Linked DNA regions of Elephas maximus indicus. The main gene of each other region encodes a partner of the protein of the gene in region 2 in a complex. Links are inferred from orthologs where the notes say so. Each region holds a gene or a part of one and is shown on either strand. Other genes may lie near its edges.

Region 1 (7,184 bases), on a different chromosome or scaffold from region 2:
CCAGGTGGGTTGAGACCAATTGATGCATCTTAGATGGCCGCTTGTTAGCATTTAAGACCTCAGACGCCACATTTCAAAGTGGGATGCAGAATGATTTCATACTGCCAAACACCTCACAAAATTTGTTTTCTTGGTTTGGAGGTTTAGGGTCATGGTTTCATGAGATGTTCCACTCCTTTAGCCTAATAACGATTTTAGTGCTTCTGTTCTACCTGTCGTATAGTTCCTGGGGTCTTAAAAGCTTGCCAGTAGCCATCCAAAGTACAACAATTGGTCTCTATTCACCTGGAACACCAGAAGAAGCAGGAGGGTCAGGATTCTGAGGAGGAACTGGAATGCAGGCCTAACTGCCTCCATGAACTACTGCCTCCTTTGCCATGAGACTAGAAGAACTGGATGGTGCCCAGCTACCATTTCTGGGCATTTTGTTCAAAGATTCTATAGAAGAATTCTGATCAAAAGGGGAAAAAAAATGTGGCACAGAATTTAAAAGTCTAATGGAATCCAGAATTTCTAGAGCCATTGAAGCTGGGTGACTCCATGAAACTGTTGCCCTGAGGAAATCTTTAAACCTTAAACCTCAAACCTCAAGCCAGAATTAGTTCCTTAAGTCTTCTTTAAACCAAACGATAGTTTAGCGTAATTAGAAGAGAATGTCTGTTTGAGCATTGTGTTCTTTTAAAGAATTATTTATATGTGATCAACTTGTTAACAGCAACTCAAAAGGTTAGATGAGAAGCTTAGGGGGTGGTGAGTTTGTATTAACGATGGTAAAACATATGGAAAAAGATATCAAGGAAGGTGGCACAATTTGAAGAATATAACCAATATCACCGAATTGTACATATAGGAATTGTTGAATTGGTGTATGTTTTGTTTTGCATATTTTCACCAAAAAAATAGAGGAAGAAATAGTGGCCATGTCTGGGATACCTTTAAACCTCTCAGAGACAAGGAGCCATGTTTAATTCAACCTGTTACCACTGGTGGTCATTTAGTCCAACACCCAATGAATATTTAGTGAGCGCCTACTCTGCGCTGGGAGCCCTGGTGGCACGGTGGTTAAGAGCTTGGCCGCTAACCAAAAGCTCAGCATTGGAATCCACCAGTTGATCCTTGGAAGCCTGATGGGCAGTTGTAGTCTGTCCTACAGGGTTGCTATGAGTCGGAACTGACTCGACAGCACCGGGTGTCAGTACTGTGTGCTGAGAATACAACAGTGAACAAGGCAGAAAGGTACCTGTTCTCATGGAGTTTCCATTCCAGAGGAAGTGGCGAATGGTAAAAACAGGAACCCATCAGTCAGAATTTCAGGTATGACAAATACCAGAAAGAAAAATTAAACTGGGGGTGGGAGGTGACTTCAGTTGTGGTGGTCAGGGCAAGCCTCTGTGAGAGAGTGACATTTGAGTTCATGAGAAAAGACCAGTTATACAAAGATTTTGGGAAAAACCGCATAGGCAGGAACAACAGCAAGTACGGAGGCCCTGAGGTGTGAATACCAAGAAGAAAAAACAAACCTGTTGCCGTGGAGTCGATGCCAACTCACAGCAACCCTATAGGACAGAGTAGAACTGCCCCATAGGGTTTCCAGGGAGCAGCTGGTGGATTCCAACTGCCAGCCTTTTGGTTAGCAGCCGAGGCCCCTAACCACTGCACCACCAGGGGCTCCGTGAGGTGTGGATAAGCTTGGCTCATTCAAGAAACAGCAAGCAGGCTGGAGTAGCTGGAATAGAGTGTGTGAGGGGAGAGAGGTGGGAGGGGAGGGCAGGGAGATGGTTGGGGGAAGGATCTTGTGGGCCTCACCCGTCTTTATGGAATCACAGGTTTTTATTTTTCTTGGTTAAATACCTAATAGTGGAATTGCTCCATCGCTGGATAGGCGAATGTTTAACTATCTAAGAAACCGCCGATCTGTGTTCCAAAGTGCTTGCGCTCCCTTATTCCTGTCGTTCCGGAGCCTCGCTGACACTCGATGGGGTCAGTCCTTTTCTTGTTAGTCATCCTGGTGGGCGTGTAGTGTACTTCACTGCGGTTACACTTTGCATTTCCTTAATGACTAATGCCGCCGAGTGCTCCTCTCATGCTTATCGGCCATTTGTATCTATCTCTTATGACACGTCTGTTCAAGTCTTTCGGTGGTTTAAAAAATTACTTTTAAAAAGCTCCTTCAGGCCATCGAGGGGTGAAAGTGGAAGCAGGGAGAGAGGGAGGGGCTGTGACTTCCACAGAGACCAGCACCCTACAGGCTCAACACAGCCTAGTTTCTGGGAAAGTCGGCTTTGGCCTTCCCCAGCCGCTTGACTCTTGGGCTGCTGCCAGGAGAGGCTGAGATACTTTAAAGATCTTGCCTGGGGGCCCTCAGCCCTGTTTCCTGGGGCCAGGCAGGCACTATGGGGGTGGGGTGGGAGGAGCAGCACCCAGTCAGCCAGGTGACCTCCACAGCTGCCTCTGCTCTCACCAGTACAGGGGCCTTACCCGTCCCTGGAGCAGAGACCAGCCGGGTCTGCATTCCACTCCCTGCACCAGCCTGTCACCTCATCAGGGCCCCTGCCCGGGAGCAGTCTAGCCAACAAAACCTACTCCACGTCAGAAAGAGTGAGAAAGTTTGTTCAGGAGATGTTTGCATCACCGGGGACCCGGCAGCAACACAGGCTGTCTCTATGGAGTCCCAAAGAGCAGTTTTACGTCAGAGCTTATATAGAGTCTTACAAAGCTTCCAAGTGTTTTTGTATGCAGATGGCCTGGCCAGAGGAGTTATTCATCACAAGATAGATAGTGACAAAAGACTCTTTATCAGAGTAAAGACACACAAGCCCTCTTTATCAGGCTAAAGACAGACATATCAAACACCTGGGTCGAAAGTCACAGGTGGTCGGACAGAACAAAACAAAGTTATTTGCATCAGATTAAAACAAAGAACAAAATCATTAGCATTAGGTCAAAACAAAGTCCTTAATGAAGGTATGCGAAGGAGGAGGCAAGCAGAGGACAAAGAAAAACTTATAGGTTCATCATGGCGTTAGTTATGTCAAGCTCTCAGTCGCTCGTTTTGAAAAAGGAGAAACCATGCTGGGGAGTATTAGGGTCACAAGCGTAGTTGTACCGCTTATTAAAATACTGAAGTCCTTCACTTCTGGTTGGTAAAGAACCTCTTCCCCACAGGGCGCAAATGCCCCTGGCACCCCAGCCTGTTCCCTAGGGCCCCTTGGACTTCCCCACATTTGGGGTTTGATCAAATGTCGTCTGGGGACAGCCCAGACCTGGCCAGAGTTGGGAGGAGCAGATAAGTGGCTGACACTGATGGGTTGAGGGAGAATTTTGGTCAAGGTGAGCCCAGAACTGAAGATTTAAAATAATACCCAACAGTGACCATGGAAAGAAACCCTGGTGGCACAGTGGTTAAGAGCTCCACTGCTAACCAAAAGGTCGGCAGTTCGAATCCCCCAGGTGCTCCCCGGAAACTCTATGGGGCAGTTCTACTCTGTCCTATAGGGTCGCTAAGTGTTGGCATGGACTCGATGGCACTGGGTTTGGTTTTTTTTTGGTTGGACAGTGACGCTAATAATGGTGATTTCCGTTTACTGCACACAAACAGTACGCTGGCACTGCTCTAACATTTTATGTGAAACCTCACCAAACCTTCATAGTAACCTGGACCATCACAGCAGCCTGGTCTCCTCGCTCCTGTCCCTGCCCGCAGAGCTCTTCCCCACACGGAGCCGTGGGAGCCTGTGACCACCTGAGTCACATCACAGCCCTCCTGGCTCAGGGCTCCCCAAGCCTCTGCTCTCCCCTGTGCTCACTCCAGCCACGAGGAGGGTCACGGTGGGCCCTAAGGTGGGCTCTACGCTCACCTTACAGGAGGGATTTAGGTTCTTTAGTGACAGGACTTGGCCAGGCTGGGGCAGTGGCGGTGGCCATTAGCAGCCAGCGATGCCTCAGCCTGAGCCCTGACCCTCCTCCAGACCACAAACCCTGCCCCTGCTGGCCACCCAGCGTCTGCCCACGCCAGCATCCAGTTTCCCCTTTTCTGTCCAGAGCCTTGGCCCAGGGAACTGTGGGATGTGGCAATAGGACGGGGGAGGGGGCTTCCTGCAGCTGGCCCATCCCCCCAGCACCCTAACCTCAGGTTCCTTCTTCCTGGGCTTCAGCTGGGGCTAGATGTTCCCGCTTCCTCCCGGGTGACCTGTCTCAGTCCTCTTCCCAGCCACTTCTTTGTTCGGTGGGACGGCCCAGCTTGGCACAGTGGTCACTACGTTGTCCCGCCACGTGGCTCCCCCCAGGCTCATGTGTCTGTGCGGTGCGTATCTGTGTCACCGTCTACGCTGCTCCCTCTTTCTCTGCCTGGTCATTGTTTTCTCCTTCCCATCTTTCTTCCTGCTTGTTTGCTTTTGGTTTCTGCGGAAGAACCAAAAAACTGCCTTTGGGGACTGGGTTGATTTCCACCTTATTTGCTGTGTGACCTTGGGCAAGTGTCTTTACACCTCTGGAGTGATAAATATTTACCTCAGAAGTGTGTTACAGGCATTAAATGAGTTAGCACTTAAGACAGAGCCTTAAATCATTCTGTCCCACATCCTGATAGCTGTATTTTGTTTTTCCTCAATTTTATTTATTTTGTTGCTGTTGTTGAGAATATACACCGATGACTGTATTTTAATATCCTAAGAACATCGTAAGGTTCTGAATATCAAATAATAATAATTATACCCTTTACCATCAAGTCAATTCCAACTCATAGTGACCCTATAGGTCAGGGTAGAACTGCCCTATAGGGTTTCCAAGGAGTGGCTGGTGGATTTGAATAGCCGACCCTTTGGTTAGCAGCTGAGTTCTTAACCACTGTGCCACCAGGGCTCCCAATTATAATTACAGCCAACACGTGTGAAAGGAAAGCTGACAAGTGTCAGACCCTGTTCTAGGGACATTAATCGATTTAGTCCTTACAACAACCCTATGAAGCAGATACTATTTCATTCACTATTTCACAGACGAGGAAAACCAAGACCCAGAGAGACGGAGTGACTTGCTCAGAATTGCCTAGTCAGGAAGAGGCAGAGGTGGCTTAGGTCAGTCAGCCAGTGACCCTCATGTTAGAATGAAGTCTGGCCCCGATGAGTGAGAGAGGTCAAGAGCTGATAATATGGTGCCCTTTGCCTGCAACGTCCATCCTTTGGGGATGTAGCGTCATCCCTGCGGCGTTTGGGCCTGATTCTTGCTGCTGTTCTCTCTCTGGCCCTCCTCCTATACCGTCCCCTCCTCCCTCCTGCCACCACCCGCCTCAGACTTCCTCCTTCACTTCGTAGGACGCTAAGCCACAGCCACTGGCCCTTAGACTGGTGTCCAGCGGCATCGCCTGCATCATGGTGGGCATCGGACCCTCTGGGAGACTCCTGCTTCTGCCTCTTCTGCTGGCTGTGGGTGGTGAGTCGGGGCCTTCTGCATCTGCCTCTGGGGTCTCAGGTTCAGCTGGGGGCAGGCCAGGGAGCAGGGTAGAAAGAGGAAACCAAAGGGGAAGGTTGGGACAGGAGCCGATCCCCAGGCCCCTAAAGCCTGTGAGTCTCTACCGGAGACTGAGACTCCAAGACTTGGCCTCCGGTGGAAGCAGTGGCAGGGGACATCCAAGGGTGTCACAACAGGACAAGTCAGAGTAGAGGTAACACAGTCCACCAGGTCCCACCAGAAACTGCTTTCTCCCCTTGCCTTCTGGTGTCAGGAAACACCCGCCCCAGCTTCTATCAACACTACCCCGTCACAGTCCCGTATGTCAGCTTACCTTTTTTTCCTTCCTCAGGTCTCAGTCCTGCCCAGGCCCAGAGTGGTAAGAATCCAGACCCTGGTTTCTCTCCCCAGCTCCCGCATCTCTGTCCCTTCCCCAGTCTCTCCAAACCTCCCTCTGCTGGCTACCTGCCCCCCACCCCCACGCCTGCCCAAACTCCTGGCCCCCACTGACTTCCCCTGACCCCTGTGCCACAGAGTGCAAGTGCGCTACAGTTGGCCCTGGTGTGCTGGCTGGAATCGTGCTGGGGGACCTGTTGTTGACACTCCTCATCGCCCTGGCTGTGTACTCTCTGGGCCGGCTGGTCCCTCAGAAACGAGGGGCTGCAGAAAGTGAGTGGGACTGGTGGGAGCTGGCCTGGGACAGTCTGAGGACGTGCCTGGGGGGCAGGTATTAAGTTCCCAGGTCACAACCCACCAAAGGGATGGTGCTGGAGGGGCGGATTTTGAAGCCACAAAGTGATTTCAGTTCAGCACCCTGTCCACCTCCTCCTCTTACGCCCCTTCTCTCAGCAGTGACCCGGAAACAGCGCGTTAATGAGACCGAGTCACCTTACCAGGTGAGTACACAGCTTCTCTTCCTCAAGTCTTAACTCCTGTCCTTAGGGTCCGGGTCCCAAACGCCCCCCTCCATCCCTTCCAGGCCTCAGACTCTCAAACTGCTCCCCCCAATAACTCCCCAAACCCTTGAAGGCAAATAAAAACATGGGGCATTTGTCCAAAACCTGTTTTAACAATGACCTTAGCTTCAGGTTAAAACGTGTGTGGAGGACACTGAGGGGTGAATTTACCTTTGCAAGGCAAGTTGTGCCTTACTCAGAAGGCAGGCTCAGGATTATTTGGGAGAAGGCATTTCGCAGGTGGCCATGGACCAGCAGCAAAGCTTAGGCCCTAGCTGGGCAGATAGACTTGGAGTAAATAAACAAGATAATTTTGGGAGGCATCATAAAGGAAATAAAGCAGGCTGATGTGGTAGTAGCTGGGGTGTCGGGGGAGGAAACTATAGGTGGGGAAATCAAGCAGTGCCTCCATAAGGAGGTGACATTGAGCCACCCATGAGAAGATCTAGGGGATTGGTGTTCCAAGCAGAGAGAAGGGCCCCTCGCAAACGCCCTGAAGCTGGGGCATAACCACGAGGCAGAAGGGGAAGGGGCACACTGAATGCGCTTTAATACAATCCAGACCGCTGCTGTGGGTTTCAAGGTTGAAGAAGCTGGCAGGTGCCTCACAGGCCACTAGGAGAGGCTGGAGTTTGTTCTAAGTTTATTTGGTGGACCCCTTGCACTGATGGTCCCCAACCTGTTCACCCACTGCCCTCATTCCTTTAGGAGCTCCAGGGTCAAAGGTCGGATTTATACAGTGATCTCAACACACAGAAGCCGTATTACAAATGAGCCTGAACC
Region 2 (7,163 bases):
ATACAGACAAAGAGGCTGCCACCAGAACAGAACAAAGAAATACTGCATGGTCTAAAATCAAGAAAGGTGTGTGTCAGGGTTGTATCCTTTCACCATACTTATTTAATCTGTATGCCGAGCAAAAAATGTGAGAAACTGGACTATAGGTAGAATGTGGCATCAGGATTGGAGGAAGGCTCATTAACAACCTGCAATATGCAGGCATTCTCAAATATCAAAGAATGGGTGAAATGAATAAAAAAAAAAAAAGTAAAAATAAAACAAACAAAAACTACTCAACAATAAAACCTGCCAGTCAGGGACTCTATCAAAATAAATAAATCAGGAATGGACGTAGCATGGTGAAAAACATGGTGGTGAGCAGTGAAATATATTTAAATATAAATATTAAAAAAGAAAGGTGTTTTTGGTTTCAGAACACAACACAAATGTTTATAAATGCCAACAAATGAATATGTACATATGTAATTGTTAGTAACTTTGAGAAATTAAAAAAATAAACATAAGGAACACACGTCAGAACATGTGAATATAAAAATATTTGTCACTTCATTTTTCATAAAAAAGAGCCAATGAATACTCTTTAAGCAGGAATAGGTTTTTTAAAGGACAATGCTTAGCCAAGCAATGGTCTCATGATGTTTTTTTTTCTTAACCATCAAAAGATCTTAAGGATAATAATATTTCATACGGTGAAGAAACATTTTTTTAATGTTTTCAGCTCCTTTGTTGTCATTTCAGTTTCTTTCTCCTTTATTAAATTCAAGTAAAATAAGTTCTAAAATAATCTGTTAAATTGAAAAAACTTATGTATACCATGATTCTTTCCTTTCCATCCATCCATCCACCCATCCACCCATCCATCCATCCACCCATCCATCCATCCATCCATCCATCCATCCATCCATCCATCCATCCATCCATCCATCCATCCATCCATCCATCCATCCATCCATCCATCCATCCATCCATCCATCCATCCATCCATCCATCCATCCATCCATCCATCCATCCATCCATCCATCCATCCATCCATCCATCTGTGTATTTGCAAAAAAGACCTATCTGAAATAACATTCATTAAAGTCACTACTCGTCGTTTTGTTATGGTAAGAATTAGGGAAATTTCTTAACATACTTTTGTAGATTGCTTGAGAGATTTTATAGAGGGCATAAATCATTTAAATAAAAGTGATAAAATTACTACACTTTAAAAAAAAAAAAAAAGGGAGCCTCCTGGAGCACAACGGGGGGAAAAGAAGAGTGTGCTAGTAGAGTCTTCCTTTTTGTTATAAACTCTCTGAATGGTTTAAGTTTCTTAAGTATGAGTATTCAACATGTTTATATGAAATTTTTCATTACAAAATTAAAAGAAAAGAGAGTGTACAAAGAAAAATTTAGGAAGTCAATATTGCTGTTGTTGTTGTTAGGTGCAGTAGAGTCGGTTCTGACTCACAGCGACCCCATGCACAACATAACGAAACACTGCCCAGTCCTGACAATCCTCACACCGGTTGCTGCATTTGAACCCACTGTTGCAGCCACCGTGTCAGTCCGTCTCATCGAGGGTCCTCCTCTTTTTCACTGACCCTCTACTTTACCAAGCATGATGTCCTTCTCCTGGTACTAGTCCCTCCTGATAACATGTCCACAGTACGTGAGACAAAATCTCACCATTCTCACTTCTAAGGAGCATTCTTCTTGTTCTTCTTCCAAGACAGATTTGTTCATTCTTCCGGCAGTCCACTGGAATATTCATATTCTTCACCATAATTCAAGTCATCAATTCTCCTTTGGTCTTCTTTATTCATTGTTCCGTTTTCGCATGCACATGAGGCGACTGAAAATACTTTGGCTTGGGTCAGGCGCATCTTAGTCCTTAAAGTGACAACTTCGCTTTTTAATACTTGAAAGAGGTCTTTTGCGGCAGATTTGCCCAATGCAATGCATCTTTTGATTTCTTGACTTTTGCTTCCATGGGCACTGATTGTGGATTCAAGTAAAATGAAATCCTTGAGAGCTTCAATCTTTTCTCCGTTTATCACAGTATTGCTTATTGGTCCAGTTGTGAGGATTTTTGTTCGTGTTGAGGTGTAATGAGGTGGTCTTTGATCTTCATCAGTAAGTGCTTCAAATCCATTTCACTTTCAGCAAGCAAGGTTGTATCATCTGCATAACGCCAGTTGTTAATAAGGCTTCCTCCAATCCTGATGCTCCATTCTTCCACAAATAGTGCAGCTTCTCGGATTATTTGCTCAGCATACAGATTAAATAAGCATGGTAAAAGGATACAACCCTGACACACACCCTTCCTGATTTTAAACCATGCAGTATTCCCTTGTTCTGTTCCAGTGACTGTTCTTGGTCTATGCACAGGTTCCTCTTGAGCACAGTTCAATGTTCTGGAATTCCCATCCTTTGCAATGTTATCCATAATTCATTATGATTCACATAGTCAAATACCTTTGCATAGTCAATAAAATACAGGTAAACATCTTTCTGGTATTACCTGCTTTCAGCCAAGATCCATCTGATATCAGCAATGATATCCCTAGTTTCACATCCTCTTCTCAATCTGGCTTGAATTTCTGGTAGTCCCCTGCTGCTGTACTGCTACAACTGTTCTTGAGCTATCTTCAGCAAAATTTTACCTGCATATGATATTAATGATATTGTTCTATAATTTCCACATTCCGTTGGACCACCTCTCCTCAGAATGGGCACAGATATGGATCTCTTCCAGTTGGTTGGCCAGGTAGCTGTCTAACAAATTTCTTGGCGTAGATAAGTGAGGACTTCCAGCATTACATCCATTTGTTGAAATATTTCAGTTGGTGTTCTGTCAATTCCTGGAGCCTTGCTTTTTTTGCCAATACCCTTAGTGCAGCTTGGACTTCTTCCTTCAGTACCATCAGTTCTTGGTCATATGCTGCCTCCAGAAATAAATGTCAACCAATTCTTTTTGGTACAGTTACTCTGCATATTCCTTCCATCTTCTTTTGATACTTCCTATGTCATTCAATTTTTTGGCCATAGAATCCTTCAATAAGCAAATATTACATTCAGAATATTATTCAAATAATAGAATATACTTCAAACATAAATTTTGTTCCTTAGAGGGTAACCGATTTTCAAAAAACACCAATTTATTATCTGTAATAGTACAGTTCCAGTGACACTGGTTTTTATACACACTAGTTCATACAGAGGTTGGCTATGACGAGAATTTCTATAAAATGCTACATGAAGTAAGATACATGTGGAGATACTCAAACAGCTTAATTTATAAAGTACGATTTTTAAAAATAAAGCAGAACGTGCCAATCAGCATTCCACATTCACTTCTTTTAGCATCCATGAACCTCCCATGTGTCAGGCATGTTCTAGGTGCTGGGTTCCCAGCAGAAAATAAGAAGGACTGGGGCCCATGCCACAGCTGGGGCCGTGGGAATAGCTGGCCCTGGGAAACAATAACAGCATTACCACGCCACAACAATTGAAAATGATTCCAGTGATAAAATACATCTCCCCTCCAGGGCCAACGGCTCCCACCATCCATGGAAACATTCTCCTGGGGAAAGCATATATTAAGCAAATAAACAAGGGCCGGGGTTCATATGGCTGTACGAAGAACAATGTTGTAAAGAAACGACGACTTACGTATTTTAAAAAACAAGTTAGTGTTAAATATGGGCAATAGGTTAACAGAATCTATTCCCTTCTGCAAAAGAACCTGACTTCTGGTTAGCTCTCCAGCCTTGTTCCCCAGGTAACCTGATAAGGCAGCCTGTCAATTATATAGTTAAGCAGCATTGCTTATGGTAATAGTAACACTGCCCATTCCTGTGCCATCCCGCACCATTTCCATGATCAGTTGTGGATCAGGCCCTTGTCACCACAGAGTTTTCACTGGCTGATTTTTGGAAGCAGATTGCCATGCCTTTCTTTCCAGTCTGGCAGAACTATAAATACTTAATAAAAAGCCAGAGCTTTGAGCCTGTTTCTTGTAAGGACTCTAGAAACTATGTCTACAGTGTTGTTTAGAGAGAAATGGCTCCTGGGGCAGGCTTCCATGTGGACCTTGCCTCCTTGGCCCTGAGAGGTGTGGACTGCAGCGAAGACTCCCTCTGCAGGAAGATACCTGATGCTGCCCTGCTGGGAAGCTGGGGTTCCTGTGCCCAGTATGGCCTGTGATCATCCTGTGGGTCTGAACATTATCAGCCCTGTGGACATCCTGGTGGTGTGCATTACATCGTTGCCAGCTGAAAGTAAAACCTGCCATAAAATCAGTCCCTGGTTAAGAGGAACATTTTTTTTTTTTTTTAATGGCTATGAAAAAGTATTCTTTCACAAGAAAGACACTTTTGTGATAATCAGAAGGTTCTTATTTTGAGAACTCACTGGGCTTGCTACCAAATTTAAACAGAAATGTCACGTTGATCAGACAGCTTTTAATCCCGATGGCTGTAACTTGTCTGGCCTCACAACATGCTCACTAATGTACTCCTGGCACCCAGAAGGGTCTCCAGAATGGTGGTAGGCACACAGGAACCAGCTACCACTTGCCATCAACTCCTGTGTCGACTCTACCTCATGCTAAGTCCATGTGTGTCAAAGTAGAACTGTGCTCCATAGCGTTTTCATTGGCTGATTTTTCAAAAGTAGATGGCCAGGTCTTTCTTCTGAGGTACCTCTGGGTGGACTCCCACCTCCACAACCTTTTGGTTAGCAGTCAGGTGTGTTAACCATTTGTACTACCTGGGGACTCCAGGCACATAAAATGAGCTCAATAAAAATCTGCCCATTTACAAAGGATATGAACAGGCACTTCACCAAAGAAGACATTCAGGCAGCATTTTATGTGGAAATGCTCATGATCATTAGCCATTACAGAAATGCAAATTCAAACTACAATGATATACCATCTCACCCCAACAAGGCTGGCATTAATCCAAAAAACATAAATGTTGAAGAGGTTGTGGAAGGCTGAAACACTTATACACTGCTGGTGGGAATATAAAATGGTACAACCACTTTGGAAATCGATTTGGCACTTCCTTAGAAAGCTAGATAAAGAAGTACCATATGACCCAGCAATTCTATTTCTTAGAATACATCCTAGAGAAATAAGAGCCTTCACTTAACAGATATAGGCACGCCCATGTTCATTGCAGCACTGTTTACAATAGCAAAAAGATGGAAACAACCAAGATGCCCACCAACGGATGAATGGATCAACAAATTATGGTATATTCACACAATGGAATACTATGCAATGATAAAGAACAACGATGAATCCATGAAACATCTTATAAATGGAAGAATCTGGAAGGTATTATGCTGATAGAAATTAGTCAGTTGCAAAAGGACAAATATTGTATGAGACCACTATTATAAGAACTTAAGAAAAGGTTTAAACACAGAAGAAAACATTCTTTGATGGTTACAAGGGTGGGGAGGGAGGGAGAGGAATATTCACTAATTAGATAGTAGATAAAAACTATTTTAAGTGAAGGGAAGGACAACACATAATACAGGGGAAGTCAGCAGAGCTGGATTAAACCAAAAGCTAAGAAGTTTCCTGAAAACAACCAAATACTTCGAGGGACAGAGTAGCAGGGGTGGGGGTCTGGGAACCATGGTTTCAGGAGACATCTAGGTCAGTAGGCACAACAAAGTGTATTATGAAAATGTTCTGCATCCCACTTTGGTGAGTGGCATCTGAGGTCTTAAAAACTAGCAAGTGGCCATATAAGATGCATCAACTGGTTTCAACCCACCTGCAGCAAAGGAGAATGAAGAACACCAAGGACACAATGAAAATATGGGCCCAAGAGACAGAAAGGGCCACATAAACCAGAGACTCCATCAGCCTGAGACCAGAAGAACTAGGTGGTGCCCAGCTACCACCAATGACTGACCTGACAGGGAACACAACGGAGAATCCCTGATGGACCAGGAGAAAAGTGTGTTGTAGACCTCAAATTCTAGTAAAAAGACCAGACTTAATGGTCTGACTGAGACTGGAGGGACCCCAGAGGTCATGGCCCCCGGACTCTCTGTTAGCCCAAAGCTAAAACCATTCCCGAAGCCAACTCTTCAGACAAAGATTAGACTGCACTATAAGACGCAAATTGATACTGGTGAGGAGTGTGCTTCTAAGCTCAAGTAGACTCATGAGACTGTGGGCAGTTCCTGTCCATGGGTGAGATGAGAAGGCAGAGGGGGACAGGAGCTGGTTGAATGGACATGGGAAATACAGAGTGGAGAGGAGGAGTGTGCTGTCACATTACAGTGACAGCAGCTAGGGTTACATAACAATGTGTATAAGTTTTTGTATGAGAAACTGACTTGAACTGCAAACTTTCACTTAAAGCACAATAAAAAAAAAAAGATCATGGAATATAAAGCAAGTGTGACAGAATATTAAGATCTGATAAAATTGGGTGATTGACTAAAAAAAAAAAAAAAGACCAGACTTAATGGTCTGACTGAGACTGCAGGGACCCCAGAGGGAATGGCACCTGGACTCTCTGTTACCTCAAAGCTAAAACCATTCCTGAAGCCAACTCTTCAGACAAAGAATAGACTGGACTATAAGACATAAAATGATACTGGTGAGGAGTGAGATTCTCGGCTCATGTAGACACATGAGACTATGTAGGCAGCTCCTATCTGGAGGCGAGATGAGAAAGCAGATGGGGGCAAGAGCTGGTTGAAGAGACATGGGAAATAGAGGGTAGAGAGTGTGCTGTCACGTTATAGGGAGAGCAACTAGGGTCACATAACAATGTGTGTATAAGTTTTTGTATGAGAAACTGACTTGAATTTAAACTTTCACTTAAAGCACGATTAAAAGAAAAAAGCTACCCATTTAATGAGTTAATATAAAACACAAGGCTAAGAGAGTTTCACCATATTATAAAATAGTTCATTGGATTCAAAATCATGTCTCTTACAAAGACAGTCAAATGTAATTTGATTTTAAAAATTATTTCCCTGCTTTGTAAATAAGAGAAACAAAATATATTATCTGACACAAGAATTCTAATTGACTCTTGACAATTGACTGGCACAGTGACTGCAACAATGGGCTCAAGCATAACAACCATCGTGATGATGGTGCAGGACCGGGCAGTGTTTCATTCCGTTGTACACAGGGT

What was found. The genes of interacting proteins can lie anywhere in the genome.
Region 1: the proteins of SYK (region 2) and TYROBP are in contact, whole or in part, in a crystal structure (PDB 7Q5W), measured with the Homo sapiens proteins. The link is inferred for Elephas maximus indicus from reciprocal best matches to the Homo sapiens genes SYK and TYROBP. Residues at the interface, in NP_001167638.1 of Homo sapiens: Arg22, Arg42, Asn46, His62, His63, Tyr64, Thr65, Ile76, Ala77, Gly78, Gly79, His92, Asp97, Gly98, Leu99, Arg175, Arg195, Arg197, Lys212, Leu214, His215, Tyr216, Arg217, Ile228, Pro229, Glu230, Gly231, Lys232, His243, Lys247; in NP_003323.1 of Homo sapiens: Pro90, Tyr91, Gln92, Glu93, Leu94, Gln95, Arg98, Ser99, Asp100, Val101, Tyr102, Ser103, Asp104, Leu105, Asn106.

The regions. Positions count from the first base shown.
Region 1 is NC_064829.1:115,010,682-115,017,865, reverse strand, and holds the start of TYROBP (TYRO protein tyrosine kinase-binding protein), read left to right. Parts: upstream 1-4,169; 5' UTR 4,170-4,303; intron 4,304-5,309; 5' UTR 5,310-5,366; coding exon 5,367-5,427; intron 5,428-5,797; coding exon 5,798-5,824; intron 5,825-5,979; coding exon 5,980-6,114; intron 6,115-6,294; coding exon 6,295-6,341; intron 6,342-7,109; coding exon 7,110-7,175; 3' UTR 7,176-7,184. UniProt on the Homo sapiens protein: Adapter protein which non-covalently associates with activating receptors found on the surface of a variety of immune cells to mediate signaling and cell activation following ligand binding by the receptors.
Region 2 is NC_064827.1:118,741,104-118,748,266, forward strand, and holds the start of SYK (tyrosine-protein kinase SYK), read right to left. Parts: upstream 3,026-7,163; 5' UTR 1,732-3,025; coding exon 1,675-1,731; intron 1-1,674. UniProt on the Homo sapiens protein: Non-receptor tyrosine kinase which mediates signal transduction downstream of a variety of transmembrane receptors including classical immunoreceptors like the B-cell receptor (BCR).